2 linked regions of the Daphnia pulex genome follow. The protein of the gene in region 1 purifies or fractionates together with the protein of each later gene. This does not show direct contact. Links are inferred from orthologs where the notes say so. Each region holds a gene or a part of one and is shown on either strand. Other genes may lie near its edges. The genes, in order: splicing factor 3B subunit 6-like and U2 small nuclear ribonucleoprotein A'-like.

What was found.
Region 2: the proteins of splicing factor 3B subunit 6-like (region 1) and U2 small nuclear ribonucleoprotein A'-like purify together in Homo sapiens (affinity purification with mass spectrometry; 5 studies listed by BioGRID and IntAct, with this or other methods). This does not show direct contact. The link is inferred for Daphnia pulex from reciprocal best matches to the Homo sapiens genes SF3B6 and SNRPA1.

Annotation. Positions count from the first base shown.
Region 1 is NC_060019.1:12,849,526-12,860,952, forward strand, and holds splicing factor 3B subunit 6-like, read right to left. Parts: upstream 5,233-11,427; 5' UTR 5,103-5,232; coding exon 5,073-5,102; intron 4,959-5,072; coding exon 4,840-4,958; intron 4,783-4,839; coding exon 4,563-4,782; 3' UTR 4,501-4,562; downstream 1-4,500. Other genes in the region: dolichyldiphosphatase 1-like, read left to right, coding at 3,220-3,298, 3,367-3,467, 3,538-3,583, 3,643-3,877, 3,949-4,077, 4,140-4,269; pantothenate kinase 3-like, read left to right, coding at 5,686-5,785, 5,847-6,037, 6,105-6,278, 6,347-6,514, 6,599-6,675, 6,750-7,062, 7,125-7,238, 7,297-7,380; nuclear hormone receptor HR96-like, read left to right, coding at 8,146-8,176, 8,379-8,542, 8,619-8,696, 8,767-9,196, 9,270-9,589, 9,660-9,869, 9,951-10,364.
Region 2 is NC_060021.1:10,325,578-10,337,424, reverse strand, and holds U2 small nuclear ribonucleoprotein A'-like, read left to right. Parts: upstream 1-9,675; 5' UTR 9,676-9,818; coding exon 9,819-9,900; intron 9,901-10,037; coding exon 10,038-10,078; intron 10,079-10,137; coding exon 10,138-10,244; intron 10,245-10,308; coding exon 10,309-10,537; intron 10,538-10,600; coding exon 10,601-10,715; intron 10,716-10,777; coding exon 10,778-10,930; intron 10,931-10,993; coding exon 10,994-11,037; 3' UTR 11,038-11,167; downstream 11,168-11,847. Other genes in the region: lariat debranching enzyme B-like, read right to left, coding at 7,509-8,079, 8,136-8,284, 8,349-8,535, 8,607-8,707, 8,765-9,056, 9,126-9,322. UniProt on the Homo sapiens protein: Involved in pre-mRNA splicing as component of the spliceosome. Associated with sn-RNP U2, where it contributes to the binding of stem loop IV of U2 snRNA.

The sequences.
Region 1 (11,427 bases):
GGCTGACGTGATAGGAGTGGAAGAACAAAAAACAATTGAAGGGAGTGGTATTAAATCAGTGTTTTAATATAAAAAAGTAATACTATCCAACACAAATTCGTGAGTGAGCGCTCTGGGGCTTTACTTTCTTCGGGTCATAGTGGTTAGAGTCATGGCTACGAAATAGAACTCGAAAGAATAATTTGACTTTTGCAGCAGATCATAGGCGCTCTGACGTATCACACTGGTATTACAGCTCCTCTTAAATTCCAATTGTTGATTGGCGAAAGCAATGAGACGACTGAGGCTTTTTTAATGAATACATATTTTACATTCTTAATGTAATGTACTTAAGCTTTGCGTTCATTTGTCCTTCCCACGACGAAAATTCCAATGCAACCTACGCTTAACCTCACCCTTCACCTACTCTACGCCTTTTGTACCGCACCTTGACTAGATATTGGCTACTTGTGCGATGGATTTTTTACTGGTTCGAAGAATTTTATCTGAGTCATGATTTTAAATGTCGTCAGTCCCAAACAGCTCATCTTTTTTCCCACTTCTTCTTGTGCTTCTTATTCTTCTTTTAGACAAGAGAGCTAGATGACTTCAAAGCGCAAATGGCAACACTTATCCGACATCACTCTTCCAGCGTATGAGTTATCATGATTTGCTATTTTTTCTTATACATATTACATTCTATTAGGTTTATTCGACACAAGATATGCATCACTTATGGGGTCATATTTTTTGCCATCAGGTGATCTCAGCTATCATTGTCCCTAAATCCGATGAGATGAGCTGAGCATTTCGAATCTTCGATGTCATGATTGAAAAACGAACTGTGTTTATTAGTATTATTGATCCCTGAGGCTAAGGCTTTAGCCTGCCGAGGGCCTTAACAGGGTTCCCGTAGAGCTCAAAAGTCTCCCTGGAAGGAAATGGGAAAAGGCGGAGCTTAGAGAGAAAAACTACCCCCACGTGACCGAAATCTGGCCTTGCTATTGGCTCCCGTCTCGATTTACCGATCGATATAAAATCGGAAATTCAGTGAAGCCTATACTCCCTGCCACGCGATTTTCAACTCACGGTCCCACATTTTTCAGTCACCGCCGAAACCTGAAAATGGAATTGCGTGGATACCCAGGGGTAGTTTTTGTGATAGAAATGTAAATGTAAACAAACAACAGATTTAGAATGCATTCGAAGATTCGTGTATTATATTATCAAAGGAAAAGTAATTCAAAATGTTTTCCATGCCTAACAAAAATTGGCGTTTACTTCCGAATTTTATTTAAGTTAATATTTAATGTTTCGGTATTCCCAAGTTTCACTGTATTCATTCAGCTTTTTGTTATGTCCTAGTCCTAGTCCACAGACACATACCAACAGTTGCTTCCATTGAAAAAAAAACGATTAAACATTCAGCAACTTGTGTCAACAGTTAAATAATTGGTCTCTTACTAAATTAAGTCATTTCAGGAACTCAGCATGTTCTTCAGTATATCGAAACAGTGCCAACCCACCTGTGCCAAACTACATGTTTACAACTGGTAATTCGTAATCGCCCAGATGCAGAAAAGTTTAATCTTTAAACTGAATTTGTTCTACAGGAGTAAATGTAGCATGGATCAACTTACAGTGACCAACTTACAGTGACCAACTTCCAGTGACCAACTTCCAGTGACCAACTTCCAGTTACCAACTTGTGGCTAGAGTCGATACTTACAAGGGTATTAGTTGCAATGCTTCCTGACATGGCAAATTATTCCATAGCAGAAATAGGTGAGACACACACATAATCATTGTAGAGTCTAATGTTCTATTTCTATACATAATTTTTTCATCATTAGATGCTATGTGTCGAAAAGCTAAAGTGTTTTTCCACTGTGATGGAGCCCAAGCTCTAGGTAAAATTCCAATTGATGTTGAATCGATGTCAATTGATTTATAAAGGTATTTTACAATTTAATATATGATTGTTATTTCGATGTAATTCACTCTTTTTTCGCATCATTATTTTCTTGAACTTGAACAAAAGGTGTTGGTGCTCTTTACGTGATAGGCCGACCACGGGTTAGGATTGAAGCTCTGCAAAGTGGAGGTGGTCAGGAATGAGGGATACGTGGTGGAACAGTTCCTACTCCACTGACAGAGTGACAGTTGGTTTTGGCGCAGCATGTGAAGTAGCTCAGCAAGAACTTAAGGTTTTAGTTCATGTCATAGTAGTATCCATACATAACTAATTGATCAAAACCATGTTTTAGTATAATCATGCCAGATTAGTTAACTATCGCAACGCTTGATCGATCAGATTGGTAATAGTTTAACACATGTCGTACGAAATTGAGATCCTGAACACTCCTACCCAGGTTGTGTAAACCTTTCTTTCGCCTACGTCGAGGGAGAAAGTCTTTTCATGGCCCTGAAAGGTAACTTTAAAGGCAACTTCCACTACCTTTCATTTTAACTAATTCTTTTTATTACGTAAGACGTGGCACTCTCAAGCGGAAGTACTTGCACCTCAGCATTGCTGGAACTTTCATATATTTTGCGGACCATTGGCGCTGAAGAAGATTTGGCGCATTCTTCTATTCGATTTGGAATTGGGCGATTCACCACCGAAGCTGAGGTTGATTACACGGCAGAAAAGTGTATTCATCAAGTATCACCAAACTTCGAGAAATGAGGTATATACCGACCAGGTTTGGAATTCCCAGACAAAAAGTTTATTTTACTTCCGCTAAAAATGTTAATTTGTCCTTCTTCCTTATTTGTTTATTTTTGTCGAAATGAAAATTTATAAATGCAACGTCGTTCTTTTTTTTTTTATGGTCAGTGTTTTAAAAAAGTAGAAGAGTATACAGAGTACAATAAAATAAAAAATTACAGAGTAAAATAAAAAATAACGACAAGAAAATGAAGCACAAGAACAAGACTGCCTAATTCCAAAATTCTTCCAAGATAGCTCTGTCACTTAGCCGAAGGCCAACGCTTGCAACGCGAGCCCTAGTTTAATGTAATTCATTATTTGTATATTACTTTTCTGTTTATTTCAACTAGTTTATTTACAAACGAGTAGTCTTTGGCATAATTAAGTTCATATATAAAAAAAGCGACATTAAGTGCAATTATTTTTGTTGATTTGGCAACTCGCCCCTTTAAACGACTTACACCGGTAATACGTTGCCAAGGTTTTCGACATTACATGGTTTATTTACATTGTGTTGCCTTTTGAAAATGGAGGATCCAGAAACAAATAACATACATTCAAACATAAAATGGATTCCATTAAGTATCACAGCAGAATATCCTGAAGGTTATTTTGTGTAATTTTAGTTTTTTAGTGGCTTCTCATTATTATTGAATTCTGATTCTATCATGTAGGTGATCTCATTGGAAAACTGCTAGCGTTTTCTTCTATGGTTCCTCATGCCCTTATTGTCAGTTTTATAACATTGATATTGTTTAGAAGAGATTTGCATACGGTAAATCAGTATTCACATGTGCGTGGAATTCTAAATTTGTGAATGTTTTAAACTTTGTTCTTTTTTGTAGATATCATACCTCTTAGGACTGGTGTTAAATGAAGGCATTAATTACGGTATTATTTCTTCCCAATTTCTGTTAAAACCCACATACATTTATGTTTTTAAATTTTAGTGCTCAAACATACTCTTCGTCAGGGAAGACCATTAGTTAGACCTAGCCTCTTACATGAGTATGGAATGCCATCATCTCACAGCCAGTTCATGTGGTTTTTTACTACCTACATGTTCCTTTTTATTTGGGTACGCTTGAGACACATTAGCTACACAAATACCATATGGATTTGCATCTGGAAAACTGCCATCTCAGTAGCATGCCTTGTTGCATCTATCATTGTTGCCATAGCAAGGTTTTATTCTAATTCTTTGTTTATTTTACTTAAGTGAAAAAAAATACTTAATTCTCTTGCTTCATTATTAGGATTTATCTTCAGTACCACACTGCTTCCCAAGTAATAGTAGGGGGATTACTTGGATCTGTTTTAGCAGTTTCGTGGTTCTTATTTACGCAATTCGCTCTAACGCCGTGGTTCCCAACTGTTGCATCATGGTTAGTTTTCCTCAAAAGTGTTTCCATGCCGATAACATGCAATATTCATTGTTATTTCTTAGGAGAGTGTGTGAATGGCTATTGGTGAGAGATCAAACATTAATCCCTAACATTATCTGGTTTGAATATACATCTCACCGGAGCGAATCAAAGCACAGAAGTCGAAAATTGGTCTCCATGAAGTCCCAGTAAAACTGGCTTGAAAATAATTTTGTGTTCAGTAGCTGCAGTGCAATTGTTTGTCTGTTTACTGTGCCTACAAATCTGTTATTCTTGAAAGCCGGATATTTCGTGAATATTCTTTTTAGAAAAAACATTTTTGAGTTGTAATAACTCGTGCAAATCATATTTGATATTCCATTACAATGGAATACCTCACAATTACACTGGTTGGAAAAGGGTCAATACTGGTTACAATTCACATAGTGAAAATGGTTTTTTTATTATACCAAATTGTACAATGAGAAATGAGGTCAATTTACATGTTATTCATCATTCAATCCAAATTTAGCCTTCATGCTTTCTATCTCTTCTTTCTTCTTGTCTGTGTCAACCTTTTTGAAGGCCTTTGTAGGTTGATAATAGAGTACTACAAGGTAACGATTGCAGACATTAAAACCAGAAAGATGATCACAAGCATTTTTTGCATCAAAAATGTCTTCATAGACCACAAAAGCTGTTCCTCTGGTTTCTGGAGTGTTCCCTCTATCAAATCAAATGAGTTACAATTGATGCTAACATATATTATCAATTTCTACTTACACTCTGATTTGCCGAATAGCTCCGTATTTTCCAAAGATATCATACATTTCTTCTGATGTAATTTTATAGGGAAGATTTCGGACATATAGGATTCTGTTTACTTCAGGAGGTAACCTCACCTGAAAAATAAAAATATTTAAGAAATGCTCACATGGAAATCTTGATGCACAACAATCTTGACTCAATATAATAAACTACTAATGATAAAAAAAAATTAACACATGATTGCATACGTTTAGCTTTTTCTGCATTGCCATCGCCATTGTTAGGAGTAAAATTCAGTTAAAACAACGAAATCACTGATCAATACAATTCAAAACTGTGCTCGTGAACTTGACAATAAGAACGCCGCTTGGTATTCAAAATGGCTGCATAGCAGACGACGATTCTGAGCTGACAGAATAAACAAAACATTATTTTCGTGTAATTCAATTAATTGGTTTTATGCACTAGAAAATTTGATTCAAATTAAATACTAAAAAAATGTATATATATCTCATAAAAATCTTTTCCTAGCTCAATTTACTCTTCACATTTTAATATTTTGGCAATGCTGATGTTTTAGCAGACGAATTTGTGTCAAATGAGGAATAGCATACTCAAATAAGAGAAAAGGAAAGGGGAAAAGTTTCCACATCGTACGACCCGAATTCCTTTTTCTATTGGTTCGAATATCAAGATATGATGCAGATGGCCACTATTCGAGTCGCGTAAACTGAACTGATTCGCTACTTCCGATATCAATTAAATAAAGGGATTTTTAAGCTTCATCCGGTGCTGTGCATACAATAAAGAATTGCTGGGATATAACTAAAGAAAGCACATTGAAATTCTGCACATTAACAGATGTCTTCTGATCACGAAACACAATATGGTCGCACAATGGATAGTGTAGAAAACAGGGTAACAAATGGCCATGATTCAAGTTCCACAGTTGTTCATTCTCGTAAGTATTGTTATTTTTAATCAATTAGTTGTGATAATAAACAATTATTTTTATTCTACAGCTAGCATGCCCTGGTTTGGAATGGATATAGGTGGAACTTTAGTTAAATTAGTGTATTTTGAACCAACTGACATTGCTCCTGAGGAAGAGAATGTAAGTTCGTCAGAAATTGAAACCTTACACAACATTCAAAAGTATCTCACTAGTAACAATGCTTATGGAGAGACAGGGCACCGAGACATTCATCTGCAGGTGTTTACATCTTCTAATCTTTCCTATTTTATCAGAAATTGATTTCAGTATAATTTTCAAATTTCAGATGAGTTCAATTCCAATGGGAAACAGAGTAGGAACATTACATTTCATCAGATTTCCTACCTCTGAAATGGAGCAATTTCTGCAGCTAGCAAAATCTAAAGGATTTGCCTCTCTGTCCACAACCATTTGTGCCACAGGTGGAGGTGCATACAAGTTTGAAAAAGACTTTTTAAGGGTTTGTACACTTTATGCAGCTTTGATTTCTTTTTCTTTTTTCTTATCTTGTTATACGGTTGTCTGTAGGCTGTTAATTTAAATCTACATAAATCGGACGAACTGGAATCCCTTATCGGTGGGCTCTTGTACATTGAAGAAATTCATCGTCCCGAGGTTTATTATTGGGAAAATCCAACTGACGAAACTAAGTGCGTAAAAAAAACATATGACTTCAAGAACCCATATCCGTTTTTGGTAATTCCATCATTTAAAAACTTTATTAACAAACAAATGACTTTAATTCTGTTGTTGTTACTTTCATCTGATTTTATTTTCTAGCTAGTAAATATTGGTTCAGGTGTGAGTATACTTGCTGTGTATGGCCCAAATAATTTCAAACGAGTCACCGGTACCAGGTAAAACAACGCATAGAAAACCAAAAAAAAAACTCTCAAGATTAATCTCACAGCTCTTTGAATGTTTTGCATAGCTTGGGTGGTGGAACTTTCTTGGGATTATGCTGCTTGCTTACCGGATGCCAGTCTTATGAAGAAGCTATCGCGCTCGCTGCCGCTGGTGACTCAACGAAGGTTGATAAGAAAGTCCGAGACATTTACGGTGGAGACTATGACCGATTCGGGTTGGATGGCAACATTGTTGCAAGCAGTTTCGGTCAAATGAACTTATCTGATCGAAGAGCCGAAGTAACCAAAGCAGATTTAGCCCGTGCGACGCTTGTAACCATTACAAACAACATCGGGTCCATTACGCGGATGTGTGCACTGAATGAAAAAATTGAAAGAGTATGTTGCTGGTCAAATAAGCTTAAACTTGTATTAATTCTGTTGTTTTTTGGGTTTACCAGGTAGTGTTTGTTGGCAACTTTCTGCGAGTCAATACTCTTTCGATGAAGCAGCTCGCCTATGCAATGGATTTTTGGTCCGATGGAGCTTTAAAAGCTCTATTTCTTGAGCACGAGGTAATGCAAAATGATTTCGTAATCGTTTACGTTATTAAAATGTAATTACATTTATTAGGGTTACTTTGGTGCCGTTGGTTGTTTATTGAGACTCGTGCATATACAACCGACATGCCTACCTCCAAAGGAGGGTGACTCTTAATTAGTCATTAGAAAATGACATGCAAGTTCAAAGATACTGCTAGATTTTGTTTTCTGCCAAGGAAATTCCAGCACACATTCTCAGCTCAGACAACAATGTTTAATTTCTCATATTTAGTGTAGTTGCTCATATTTATTGAGCATTTCCTTCTTCTACCATCTCTTTAAGTGCCGATGGCAGCCAACAAAACCAAAAAGAACAGTAGATTTATACGTATCTCTCTTCCAGTTGACATTGATTTTTCTGTACAAAATTTGGGTCTTTATTGTTGTTTCTTAACGAACCAGATTTTTGACCACAGTTTATTAAATATGTCGAAATTGTATAATCGTCATAACACTCGGGGCTATTACAGTTTGTATTGGGATAGTATTTTAGAATATTGTTTTATTTCCTGATTCTGACGAGACGATAAACCCAGTATGAGAATCTAACCTTAAAGAGTATAAATCACAGATAAGCATTAATGGTCTAGATACGTTTCCTCTTCCTGATTTGAAAACTACTAGTCAAAGGTTATAAGATTCGATGTGTACTTTGTCTTCCGCATTTTCTTATCTTGCGCTGAGGAAAGCAAAATCCACCCTTCAACGAGCTTTTTGTACGCATTCGTGGTAAGATTCGAAGCATTTAAAGTCGTAATAATAGTCGCTCTTATTGTCCGGCTTGTCGCCTTGTCTGTTGTCCAGCATTTAAAAAAAAAAATTTATATTACTGGAACGTTGACCAACTTGGCAACCTCTCCTATATTCATCAATAATTTCGATGGATCTGAGACTGACTAATTTAACAATAGGTGTGTGTTCTTTAAATTAGTGTAAATAATTCAGATTTGCCCAGTAATAATCTTAAACAGTTTTACCGCTTGTCAATAACAAGAATTAGTTTCATAAAGATGAGTGAAATTTAAGCTGTTGATCAACACAGCAATCAGTGTTAAGATTCCTCTGAACGGAGATCCTTTAATGCACGTTCTCATGGATGAATTGTCTTCCTAGTTTCATCTCTCGTTATTAAAAATAACAACCTACAAAACATGGAAGAGTACGTATCGCTAACCTCTCCCAATACACCAGTATCTCCTCTCAGCAATGCTTGTACCAGCCCAGGTGAACTCCATGCCTCGATGTCTGGGAAAGTTTGTGGAGTGTGTGGAGACAAGGTATGTACTATATTATGCTTCCTACTATTTTTCTGTTGAGGCACTAATTCAAGAATGTTTTATTGCATGGTTAAAGGCTTTAGGGTGTAACTTTGGTGCAACTACCTGTGAATCTTGCAAAGCCTTCTTTAGACGCAATGCCCTTAAAGGAAAGGTACATTGAAAATAAATATACATCTCATTATTTGTGTTGCTATGAACTTGCCATTCTTACTTTCTTCCAGGAATTCCGTTGCCCATTTGAAAACAATTGTAAAATAGATGCTGTGACACGAAGATTTTGCCAAAAGTGCAGGCTTAAAAAGTGCCTTGATATTGGAATGAAGAAGGAATTTATCATGTCTGAAGAAGAACGAACAGTAAAGAGAAGGAAGATTGAAGAAAATCGAATGAAGAAAACTAAACCTGGGAGGACAAATAATACAAAGATCAACTCCAAACAACTTATTCATCTCTTAAATGGTGGTGGAAGCAGAGCAAACCAGAGAAAAAGTGATATTAAATCTGAAGCAGAATCAAGTTTCTCTGATTCAGATGTCACTACAAGTCCCTTGGACAACTCTTCCGAGGGATTTCATGAAAGCCCTGCCTCTTCGAACAAAGCGACAATAACAGTGATAAGTAATCACCAACAATTGACACCAGAAAACAGAGGTATAAATAAGTATTTGCTCGGTTTTCCCCTTCACAGTGTCATCAACGTTTGACTTGTTTTCTCGCAATATAGGAAGAATGCTTGAAATGTCTCCTCCGGAGGATTGCCCAAGTGACAGCTCTCCGTCTACCGCCAATGGCGGGATGCGTAGTCAATCCATGAGCGTAGCCGATGCCTTTAATATAAACTTGCAGACCATGGATGCTTTATTAAATACTGCCATTTCAGCTGAATACAATGTCGTGGTCGATTTAGTTCGGGGCAATGATACTAGCCCACTGTCGCCAGTCCGTGATCGCCAACTGAATGAACTGGAAATGGCCAAGTTGCAGGAACTCGTGGTGGCAAACAAAGCCCTTTTGGCACCCTTGACGGAAGAACGGCCAGTCGATGTATGAGCAGTCACAATTATTTTAACAGTCATACTGATCTAAATCTTTTTATTTAATTCAACTTTGACAGCTTCATTACGATTCGGGGGACCCAACATTACTAAATGTTATCAATTTGACGGATATTGCCATCAGGCGAATCATCAAAATGGCGAAGAAATTGGCAGCTTTCAAGACTTTGTGTCAAGAGGACCAGATCGCCTTGCTGAAGGGTGGTTGTACCGAGCTGATGATTTTGCGCTCGGTCATGTCCTACGACGCCGACAAAGGATGCTGGAAGGTATGTGCAATTAATCGCGAATGAAAGGGTTTTGTGAGGTGGGACTGATGAGCTTTTCTCTCTCATCGTATTGGACAATAGATACCACACACGGACTCGCACATGAATCACATCAAAGTGGAGGTGTTGAAGGAAGCACAGGGAAACTTGTACGAGGAACACCAACGCTACATTCAATCTTTTGATCCGCTGTGGCGTTCAGACGAGCACATCATGCTGCTGCTGTCGGCCATCACTTTATTCGATCCCAACCGACCTCACGTCATCCATCGAGATGCCATCAAACTGGAACAAGAGTCGTACTACTATTTGCTTAGGCGCTATTTGGAGTCAGTGGTAGGTGGTTGCAAGGCCCGCTCAATGTTCCTCAAGTTGATTGCTAAAATCTCCGAGTTGCACATACTCAACGATAATCACGTTCGAGTTTACTTAGACCTTAATCCTAAAGAGGTAGAGCCTCTGCTTATTGAAATCTTCGACTTGAAGTCCAGATGATGCTGACGATCTCAGCCGTCTAGTCATTTCAAAATGAAACATCCAATTGGAAAAAATTTAACGTTCAGGGCTCGTCTTTCTTCCCCCATCAAATTTTTTTTTGTTTTGACGGTTTTTTTGCGTTTTTGCGTCGATCGTCCTTCGTTAAGTTTATTTGTATGAAAAGGTTTTTACATAATTTGATTTCGTGAACAATTGTGTCGTGCTGCCGCGCCATCCACTATTTTATATATTACCTTCCTCCACAATAGGAGGTACTATTGGTTTTTATTTTGTAAAAAAAAAAAAGAAAATGGAAACAACAATCAACGTACTGTGTGCCAAGATTCCAAATGTCTTAATAACTATCACGACATTTCGTCCCGACATTCTTCGCTCTCCCACGTCATGTAGTGTTCCGATCGTCGAGAAAATGAATAAAAGAAACTTGTGTCTGTATCGCGGTCGATCGTCGAGAATTCGTCATCCTGTCGCAGACGGACGGTTGCGTGAGTCAACATTGCCGAGATACCGATTAGATTACACACATCTGTCAAGCCTTGCTCCCAGCGTCGGATTCCATTATCTTACGTACAACAGAGATGGGTCGAAAACTAACCCAATGATCCTGAAAAAAACTTGGATTTTTCGAAACGAGAATTTTCAGCTCGCACATTTATTATTAGTTCCATGAACCATTCAGCGCGTTTGTCGTTTCGCAGTAAAACAGGAACTATAGTATAAGACGTATAGGCTGCACTCTCCTGTTTATTATTATCGAGCTACTTCTTTCTGCTTACTGGTTATAATGTCTTAAAAGCGGGTGGTAACGGAGCCCTATCCAGCAGCAGCAGTTTTTGACTGACGCACTAACGCGTGAGGGTTATTGGGTTCTCCAGCCACTTGTTTCCTCTTCTTAATTTTGTTCTTGCGTACTGGACCAACTATAAAGGAAGTTGATGACCAAAATAGCCCTGCGCTTTTGTTACGACTCAAGCAACGCTTGACTGCAACCAGACTTGGATGGATTTACATGTGACTTGATCATCTATCATTCAACGCGAATAGAAGACATTCCGATCCA
Region 2 (11,847 bases), on another chromosome or scaffold:
AGACAAAAAAATACAGAAAACAGGGAGAATGTTATGGCGGAAGTGGCTATCATTAAGGCTGTCAGGTGGGAGGAGTGTGAACAATGGTCATCAACCAATCGGGAGAGTTGGCTGCCCGCAAAGTACACACTCAAAGCGCCGCTCTCTATACACTTTGCTACACACACACTACAAAAAAATAAAAGGGAAACAAGTTTTCAAAATATATCCAAGTTGAAACAACAGAACTACACTACCTGAGGATTACCACTTCATTCACTGGTGGCGGCCCCAAGTGAAAGGCGGGAACTGCTCTGGCCATCACCGCCGCTATCCTAATTCTTTTCCTTGGTTTTGCTTCCCACCTCCCAGCAGCAAATTGCACATCCCGTCTCTATTTTGGTATTTGATTATCACTCGAAATTCAAATCCGGCACCTCCTGCTTCTTCTCATCGCCAACTCGATTTTATATTTTAGAGACTTGGGATTTTCGTTGAGAGGACAAGACTCCAGAGAGAGGGTCCAGCAGAAATTGATGGAAAAAATGTAAAATTGTGCAGTAAAGTATATCATCATTCTCCATCGCCAATGTATATATATACGAAGGATTTGTTTTCAGTCTATTTTTTCGAACCCTCGAGATCGTTTTTATTGCATCTCTGGAGACTCTCTGAAACATTTTGGGTTTGCAAAGAGTTGAAACTCCTCCCCGTTTCCCAGCACTGATGTGCCTAGATGGTCACATTGACTGCGCACACATATGCCTGCCTATGTGTGAGCGGAGACTTGAGAGACGATCTGTCATGGAACATTGCGGTTTCCCTTCCTCCCCACACGTCAAACAAGTCTGCTAGTCGTTTGGCACTTTTCGTATATACACACACACGTATATAGACTCGTCGTTGGCACAGGAAGTCGACCATAAATATATATAAAGAACAATACCATTCGGGGCTGTGCGCGACAGGGCTCTGCTCCATTTCTCCATTTCGCTGCCCTCGGCTAATTAGTAGGCGGTTGTATTTCATTATATCCACACACAGTCAACTGTGCAAATGGGTCGCTAGCTCAAAAAAAAAAAAAAGAAAAACAAAAATTCATTCATGTTCATCTCGCTGAATGTATGGAGTGTGTTTTTCTAACACTGTGCTGCTGTTTTGTCAAAACTTAATTTAAGCCTTTTTAGCCGTGCCAAAAAAGAAAGGGTTCTTTGACTCTTTCTATGTCTTCCAATTCTAATGCGTCGGTTGAGACTCGAACATGGGTCAAGTTCAGGAAACCTTATTTACTTATTTAGAGTCTACTGTATCTCAACCACTTGTTTTGTTGTACGATGCTGGCCAACATACACATTTATTTCTAATTCCGGTTATAATTCCGGAGTGTACATTCAGCGTCCAAGCCGATGAAGGGATATCTAGCAACTTGGCAGCAACTGATTCAAATGAATATGATTGAAGAATCACCTGCCAAACGGCCTAGATAGTTTATATTGTTGGCAACTTGAATTGTTTGAAAGAAAAATCGGCACATCCATCTTATTGGAGAAACGCCAGATCATCAATGAATATTTTTTGGCCCTTTGAGAATTCTCAGCGCGAAGTACAAAAAGCCCCAAAAAGGAAATTTGTAAGAAATGTAGTGATTTTTTTTTCCTGATGGTTCAATCGAACTTTTGGGGGTTTGAAGGCGATGGCACAAAGAAGGGCAAAGGAACAACGACATTGAATGAAAAGAGCAAGAGAGGGCTAACAGCCGAGTGTACGAAAAAAAGGCAAAGGTTCTCCTAACATCAATCAACTCGGGGGGACTTTGAAACCTCGTTAACCAACCTGCCGCCAAAGCCATTCAACACGTTGGCTCCTTGGTGCTTCTTGTTGCTGCTCCTGCTTCCATTCATCTGGATTTTCTCTCTCTCTCTCTCTGATTTTTTCTCCGGGTCCCTTTCTTGGCAACTTTACTACATTTCCATCAGCATTCGACTCTCTCGTTTTCACGGGTTAAACTCTAAACTGCCGTGGCTTTTTCAAAATCACACAACGACGATAACATGTATTTGAATTCCATCCTTTTTTGAAGCATTTCATTCAAACTCAACGCGTATAAGATCATGTCTTTCTGACAAAATACCTTTTTTTCCCCCCTGGCAGCATTACGAGATAACTGTGTGTGTATATTCCTTAGCCTGGCACTAGAGTTGTAATAAAAATAACAGCTCTTTTATACCATGGTCCCCTCAACACTCTCTCGGCGTTAACATTATAAAAACTTGACGAACCGATGAAATCTCTCCAACCTGTCGGGCACAAGAAGGTCGCAAAGGCTTAAAATAAGACATGGAGAAACGAGTTGGTACTTTTGCCGTTCGTTTTGATTCACAACTTACCTTTTACGAATTACAAACTCGAAACGCTCTCGAGTTTAATTAAAATGAATCAGGTGTTTCTGAATGAATTTGCCAAGACATTTCAATCGATTGATCTCTTTAAATTGACATTTTCCATTGAAATGAAAAGAATTGAATTGCTAATATTGCACAACTGCCATTGAAAAAATAAAAAAACAAAATAAAAGACGGCGGTAATTTTGAATTGCGTTTAAATTTACCTAGAGAAGTTCCTTGTAGACCAAGTTATTATACCGCAGGGGACTCAATCCCTCGATAGGCTCGAAATTCTTTTTATACGATACTTCACAGTGTGTAATTCATGCTAGAGGACAGGACAATGGAAACCGACATTGGCCGGTCAGAATGCGATAAAAACAAAACAAAGCGCTATATTAAAAAAGAAGATGAAGAAACAACAGCCTCACCGACGGGCATAGGATCAACGTAAAAAATAAAGGTGCATTCGCACACAATGAGGTTCTTATCCAGACTCTTTTCAGGTGGTTATTTGATTCGGTTGTATTCGATAAACAGCAGGTCATAATCCTCGGATTGTAAACCAAGAATGTTGTTTTCTCAGCTATGGTTTTTCTTTCTTTCTTTTCCTCTATGAGCTTGTTCAAAGATGGGAACACAACACAATAATGGATATAGAAAGCTGGATGAGATTCGATTATATCGGTAAATCACCCACCGCCTGCTGTTTGGCTGTCTTCGACTGTCTTGAAGGAATTTCGCGCACGTTACAACTTACTTCATCTTTTTCCTTTCAGCATCCATAGGACGCATGCCCTATGGGCAGTCTTCACATTTCCAGGTGGAGGGACCGTGAGATATTCTGGATTTGACTTGGGTCGTCATAAAACATAATTTGCTGGCCACTGCGATGAAGTGCATAAGCGTACAAAGAAATGCGGCAAGAGAGTAGCGATGATCGTTGAGAATCGGAAGAGGCTGAGCCAATCAACCGCTCATCGTGGGGCCGGTCTGCATGTGTGGCCACACAGGTGGGTGTTCCTCAACTATTGCTTTAGAGACGACCAAATTACATCAAGGCACTTTTGAAAGGGGGGGGGGGAAATATTGGGATAAAACTGCAGCGATCATCATCACCACCTTCACACACAGCTTTAACACTATTACAAATGCTATGAACACACCACTGAGAAGAGAATTGTACAGTTGGCCGTAACCATCTGGCACTCATTCAAACACAGTGAGCGCAACTTGCAAGCTCCAAATGCCTATCGTCTAAATGCGTATAACCCGTTTTTTTCTTTCTTTCTTTCCATTTAATTGAGATGCCAACCAGGTTTTGTGGAGTAGTCAGGGACTGTTACGTTGAAGAAGTTAAATAATTTAGAACAATCGACTTTCTACTTTCTAAAATGTTTGACTTTTCTCCTTTTTCCCCCCTGTGAAATTAATAAAGCGGCAGGAAGATTATTATGTCACATGTGACGTTGTTATGCAGAACAGGTGCAGCGCTTAAGATGCAGATGATGATTGCGTACACAGATGTGCGTGATCTACATATAAAAATGTAATACTGTAACCGACTTCACACAGAATCATAGGGAAATCAATGTGATATGCATTTGTTTTTTCTCGCCATTTCCAGCCTGGTTGGTGAGTGTCATTCCACAACGGAAATGTTTTAACTTAGATAAATATTAACCAAGATGAACATCTTGGTTTTATTGTTATTTCCTACAAAATGACATCAGAATGTAAAAGCAAATTTGACTTAATCTTGGTTTTCGTTATAAATATCCACGTATAGTATAATAAACCATACAATAGCATTCCGATCATGGCTTTTGTCTAGCCTATATGAAAATCTTTTACGGAATAAAAAACTGGACTAGCTAATTCTTGTAGAGGAAAGTTGACTTATTTGTATAGCCTCCCCTGTTACAGTTTATCACTTTGTCAGTGTGAGCCATAACCTTGCATCACCGGAAACCTTATACAAGTCAAATAAAGTAGAACTCGGTTATTTTCAAATGACAAGTGTCACGAAACCTGCACGAAACCTTGTCTATGCGTTGTTAATGTGTATGTTGGTTGGATTCAAGAATCAAGATACAACTCCAGCAGCAAAAGACTCGAAGGAATACATCTAAATTCGTGAGCCTCATGAATAGTTGATTGCGATCTAACGTTTGGAGGTGTATTGAAGCTGACCAACAGTAGGAAATCATTAGCTATTCAGGCTTTGTTGGGCTTAGGTTGTGGAGATCGCGGATCTGTTTTTTGTCTGGTTTCCGTTATGGTAATATCTTATATACAGGGAAAAAAGTCTTTGGGAAAAGATCTAAACTACAATAACATAGGCCCTACTATTTGTGTCACCTTTACCCGTCTTGTTTGTCACTCGCTCTTTTCTATGCGCTTTCATTATTACCATATTACTGATGTATATTTGGTTTGAATTTGAGCAATCTTACACATACTACCTAGTAGGCCTAGTTAATAAAGTTTTAAGCGATGGCAATACTGATTAAAGAATAATAGACTAGCAGTTGTGGGAGAATTATCAACGGCAAAGATACCGTTAATGTGATAATATGTTATGTGGAGTTGTTTGCTTCTAAATTCAAAAAAGTTCACTTTTTAACCAATAAAATATGTTCAACGCCATCTAGGGGTCACATTTAAAGTGCAATGTATTAAAAAGGATGGCAACCCTGCACGTCTTTTTCCCCCCGTTATTTCATTTTTCAGTAGGAAGTGGCGCCATACTATACTACCATCTCGATGTGTTGTTTCTTGTTTTTTCCGATTGCTTGCTGCGCTGAAATCGTAAGTTGTAGTGAATTTTGTGTAATGTGTCAGTGATGTAAACTGTTCTAAACACTTTAGGTTGCATAATTCACATTTGTGTGTGTGTTAATTCTTTGTTTAGTTAAGATAAAATCTATTGCACCTCACGTGGGGGTACTAAAATGTCGGAACCACAGATAAATAACAACTCTTTATCTGTGGTCGAACATGCAAATGTTAATCAAGACTTTTTTTACAAAAAAAACTGTCCAGAATTAGTAGGAATCCTAAATTAAAAAGTAGCTTAAAGAATTAAATTAGGATTCGGGAATGTTTTCTAACCACCCAGGTGTACCATACTCCTAGACAAAACCTTAAACCAACACTAAAACTTACAATTATGATGAGAAAATTCTAAATTGAATTAACATTGTCTTTTTTTTTGTTTTAGATTCTTCTAAAACTTAAAGAAAATTTTCCGAGTCTTTTTATTAAGAAGTTGATGGAAAATGGGGACTTGGTTTTAAAGAATGAACCAAATTTTTTAGGACACGGATCCTAAAAGTCTACCACCGCCCGTTTTTAAATCAACCGTATTCGACTAATTGTCAAATACTTTACTCGAGTTGAGGCAGTTTGCACCGACCAACGTGGCCAGCATCATTTACTCGTGGAGCGCTCACTAAACATTTCAAAAGCCTTACCCGACTCTGGGTATGGAATTAGCTTTGGTATTCTTTTTTTTGCTCTTGAAAACCTGTGGCGTAAAAATTAAATTTTACTTTTATCATTTTCAGTACGAATGAGTTGCAAATGATCGCGGCTCACCTCAAGCAATTGCCACCCCCCCTCCCCCCAAACAATTCGGATGATGATAAGAAAAACAAACAATTCCTTATGGAGCTCTTGTTGAGTGAAAAATAGTTTGAAAATACGAGCGTAATTCAGGAGAATGTACAGGTTGTTGTGTTTTTATATACACCCTTGGAATTCTTTTTATTACAGATATCCCGTCATGAAAGGCACGCTTCCAAACTTATAGGCACTGGCTGAAAATGCCGTTGTACCATAGTGAGGACATCCACTGGAATGAAAACATCGTGCTGGCAATACTTTTCCGTTGAGGGCTGTCTCGACTTACTCAAACTCAACTTTTGCCTGCAACGTAACTTCCACCAGTTTCGACTGGAGACCGAGGATTCCGTTTTCCGCTTGAAGCCGTGGAAGGGCTAAGACGGAAAGGTGTTGTCGCCATGTCGGATGGGCCCAGGAAGTCTCAGACCATTAATTCCTTCTGCGTGTACGAAGTAGGAAAACTGAATATAAGAGGAAAACGTCCTCGACGTCCGTAACGATGTCAAGTCTGAATGGGAGAACGTGTGCGTTGCATGCTTTCTTCTCACGTTCCAGCCACCTGTCCCACCCGGAACACACTTTAACTTCAGGTATTTTGTTCTACATTTTAGTTTTTGGAGTTGCAACTAACGTTTACCAATCGATATAGTGATCCATTGGTTTCTCATTTTTATCTACATCCAAGGCTGTGAGATCACCTTTGAAGATTATTAAACAAGGACCAGATCTCAGACCTAAAAATTCTAGGAGGACAGAACCTTCCGTGTTTGGTATGTTTAAAATGAGCTTGTTGGTATTTTTAAACAGACAGTGGATTGACTTCTTTTATGATTAATAAAGGTTGTACTGCAATCAATACAAGATGGATATAGATCGTGTCTCGCATAATAGAGAAGGAGTAAACGATTCATTCAACATTATGATTCGACGTAAATTAAAGGAGAACAACTTCAAAGCAGTGCTGAAAACATCCTAGACTTAAACACGGATTCTTGACTACGATGACACAGGAGCGGCCCACTACTCCAAAATGACCAATCAAATTCCAGTATTGGATTTCAACGACACATTCTTACTTTACTTAGTTTTCAGAACCCGCATAACGGAGAAATTAATTTAAATATTCCACGGACATAAAATTGTCCAATACAATTTTCCGGTAAAAAACTTCCCCTACAAATCCTAAGAATTTGCAACTATGTTGGGATGGATTGGTGCAAATATGCAAACATTCGTACAATTATTTTGTCTTAATTTCATATCTTCTCCTATCTAGCTCATTCCATATTGGCTATAACATTTTTCTATCTTGAATATTAGCTACAACTGTGATGTTTCAAGGTAAACGTACTCTGCCTATCTTGCCTTCTGAAAACTACCTACTTAAATAAGAATACAACTGTTGGAAAATTTAAAATGGCAAAAAACTTAAACGAAGTAAATAGATAGCAAAATATGCATTTTTTCCAAGTAGATTTTATTGAAAAATCAGGTCATCTCTTTTTTAATTTTTAAAAGCTATGTAGAACTTTCCGGGTCCATGTAAAGTTCTTGGTTGCGTCGTTTAAATTTCTTTACGGTAGTAGGTACATCTTGATCATCTACTTTAGCACTTGAATCGTTTTCATCCAAAATCCCTCCTAAGGGAGCTTCCTTTTCCGCAGTATGTGGTTCTTCCTCATGTGTTTCATTTTGCGGCTGCGGTAAACTCATTTTACTTCTCTTCAGCGGTTTGGTATCGACAAAGAATATACCATTGTCCTGCCCAGCTACCTCCTCAGTATGGTCACCTGTCTCTTCTTCTTCATCGTCATCTTCAAGAGCAATTTCGTCTGGATTAACTACGGGAGCAGTGAGGATAATCGGTTTCCCAATCAATTTTTCGAGGGGATCGTCGATACCAAGCTTTTCGCAAAATTGTGTAGTTTGAGGATTCAATTGCGCTTGTGCTTGCTGAGCATTTCTGTTGTAATTTGGTCGAGGCTTAAATGGTTCAGCAGTTAAGGAGAAATTTGACGGAATTTTGTAGTCGTTGTCAAAGATAGTTTTCACTTGTTCTATTTCTTCTTCGTTTGGATTAAAGTTCCATCTTACATAAAAAAAGGTCAGCATCCATAAAAATAAAAACTAATGCTTTTGTGTCACCTTTCAGTGCATCCAGGACCTCCACTTGGCATGTACTGAGTAGTTGGACGAACACTCATTAAATGGTTAGTTGACCGAAGAATTGCTAACCAATGCGGATCATAACACAACTCCAAATTTTGGGTGGAATCATGTGGAATTTCCACCAACTTTTAGATATACCCAACAGTTAAATTGTTAAATTTTTCGAGAATATTCTGAATTAAATCTTACTTCAAGGTACTGACGTCTTGGAAGACACTTATCAAGTGCTAGAAATTGAGTTGATTGTTTTTCATTATGTTGGATTGTAGCAGCAAACCTACAATGAAGGTGGGCAGCAAACCAATGTTTAGGCTTCAATTCGTGAAGTAATGTTTCTCCAGCTTGACTTCCCAATACATTTTGGGCTATCTCATCACTGGAAGGGGAAAGAAAGAAATGTGTAAATTGAATTGTGTTTTGGAACAATTAGGTAACACTATTTCAAACCGAAAGAATGGTTTCCAATGCAGAAGTTCTCTGGTATCTGCATAATTGTAGACACCACGAGGCCAATCATGTGAAATAAAAATATCTATGTCTTCTTTTAACTGAAAATTAAAAGACATTTAAGTTTTTAATCTTTAAAACAATCAAAATGTAATTACCTGTTTCAAGCGAAATACTTCAAGACTACGAACATGATAAGCTGATCTCATAGTGCTGTTTGTGTAGGGAGGTTTTTCAAAATGTCCTTTCAAGTAATCATGTCCTTTAAAGATGCCTGATATTCCCGCTATTCTGATGCCACCAAACTTGACTACACCAGCATAGCCAAGATAATATATATTTGGAGCAACCCAGCCTCCATATGCAAGTTCTTGTAGATAGTTTGATGCTTCATGATTGCCTCCAATGAAAATAGTTAAAATTGGTGCTTTCAATTCACCATTATAATACCTGATATTGAAAAAAACAGTAACAATTACAATAAACTCTTATTTGTCTAAAACAATTATAAATAAATACTTGTAGAATGTACAGATATGACGGAATTTGTCAGGTACTGCCATGCATTGTAAGTCACTTTCGTTTCGAACAGCTTGAAAATCTCCACAACAGATGAGCAAATCAACTTTGACATTTCTTTGCCTCGCCAAATTCTCGACAGACCGGTAAATTTGATCAAGTTCACCATGAGCGCACCCTTCAACAGCAATAATCATGTTTTATACTGTCTTTAACTTGATATTTTAAGATAAATGTCAAATGCTGTTTCAAAGTTGATAACTTGCTTTCAAGTTACAACACAAACTCAATATTTTGAAGTTGTTTACAGTTTTACTGGAAGCCGAATCGTTCGTGGCTATTGTCGTCTGCTTAAAACCTAGCGGCAAAAACACAGCCATTTTCATATATTTTCTAACGTTTATAATTTTTTTTAATTTTGTTGACAAATTTAAATACTTTAGTTTAGAAAAGTATTTATATTTCAAGATAAAAAGCTACAGATGCACAAAACCTTTGATAAAACTTTAGTTTGAAAAGTTAATTTCCTGTTTGGAAATGTATTCGGAAATGAGTTGCAACATCGCACATGGCGTCACTTAGATATCCCTAGATTTGTCAACTACAAACGTGCAAAAACATTTTGTTCAAGTTTTAATTGCATCTTTTCCCAAATTCAATTACGTGTTTAAGGTTTAAAAAGCCAAAAAGAAAATGGTGAAGTTGACGGCTGAGGTCATTCACTTGAGCCACCAGTACACGAATGCCATCAAAGAAAGAGAACTAGATTTAAGAGGTATGTAACCGGCGTTCAGCTTCAATCTCATTCAGTCAGTTACTAAAGTTCAAAAGTTTTTTGTGTTGGCTTAAAAAAAGTGATGTAATTGTAAAAATATTTCGTGAAAATACAGCTATTTTTTGTCATCATTTTAGGTTACAAGATTCCTGTAATTGAAAACCTAGGAGCAACTTTAGTAAGTAAATTTGTAGTGTAATCATGCTGAACAGTTACTGGAGTGTTTTCTTTTTTCAGGATCAGTTTGACACAATAGATTTTTCAGATAATGACATAAGGAAATTGGATGGTTTTCCCTTGCTGAGACGAATTAAAAGTCTTCTCCTAAACAACAACAGAATCTTGTAAGTTTTTTGTTGTATTATTCACAAATTTAATTTCATGCAAATGATTCTTTAAAATCTGTAGACGCATTGCTGATGGATTAGGTGAAGTCATTCCAAACCTCGAAACCCTTGTCCTGACAAATAATCATCTGCAAGAGTTGGGCGACCTTGACCCATTAGCAGAATTCTCTAAACTCACCTATTTAAGTCTACTGAGCAATCCTGTTGCAAATAAGCAACATTATCGTTCATATGTGATAAACAAGTTGCCAAGCCTGAGGGTGTTGGATTTTCGTAAAGTAAAACTTAAGGTAATAATGTTCTACCTGACATCAGGAATTTTCCTCCTTATTCATGTAAAACTTGATTTGAAGGAGAGAGAAGCCGCCCGAGACCTATTCAAATCAAAGAAAGGAAAAGTATTGGCGAAAGAAATCGCCCAGAAAAGCAAGTTTCTTTCAGCTGAAGCGGGAAATAAGGCACCGATAGGTAAAAAACACAAATGTTTTGTTTTGTTAGCCTAAGAAATGTTATTAAATTATTTTGTGTAGGTGGTGCATCTGCGGAGGAGGCTCGTGCAATCCGAGAAGCTGTTGCTAATGCCTCCACCTTGGAAGAGGTAGAACGTCTAAACCAAATGTTGAGGGCAGGTGTCGTACCTGGAAAAGCCACCCAAGGCTCCAGCAAAAACGGAAATGCAAATGGTAAATTCACATCCTGTCTTCAACTTCCTTGTTTCGTTTGTTAAAACTTTTGAATTGTTGTAGGTGAAGATATGGAGGAGGAAGAAGATGAACCCATGGAGAAATGACAATGCCATCACGGGTAAAAATTAATTTGTATCAAGCTGTTAATGTGAATGTGGGACTACACTTTGATAATAAAAATATCGCTACCCTAGAGTAAATAAGGTAGCAGAAAGATATTTTTGAAATTACAAATTGCCCGTCTAATTTGTGTCACAGTTAAAAGACCGAGAAGCGATTAAATTTGGTCATTTTAACAAAACTGTGTTGTGAAAAATGCGTAGCGAAACCAATTTTCAGTCATAGAATTAGATATGCTACATAGTGTGTATATCCTACGTGTATTCGGAAGAGGCTCATCTGCCATTTGCGGAATGAGTCATGCATAGAAGGCGGATGTGGGGGTGTGCGTTATTTTCAGCCGGACATGACGGGTTAGGAGTAGCTTGGAAACTGTAGACGATCTAATTTAGAGCGTTTCGTGTCCTTTCATTAACGAGCGTGCCCGTGCGTAAGTTTCGTTGTTTTGAGTAAGATTTTTGGCGCCCACTCCTATTTTTCCCGATACCACATCCGGAATATCATGAGCTAACACCGCCATGATGATGTGATAATGGCAGCAAACTTGGTTTGTAGGTTACAACTTACAGCTATACGAAAATCCAGAACTGATCGTTTTAAGTTCAAAATTCTACTAATATTTACAAATAAATCATTAGTATTTGATAATATCCAATACCATCGTTGGAGTCTTCACCGATAAAAAATGTGTTGAATGAATACAGCATAATTCGTTAGTACATGGAAGATATCGGGTTTTCTCTTACAGATAAGTAACAAGAAAAAAAACAAGAAACTTTTCTTATTTTTTTTTT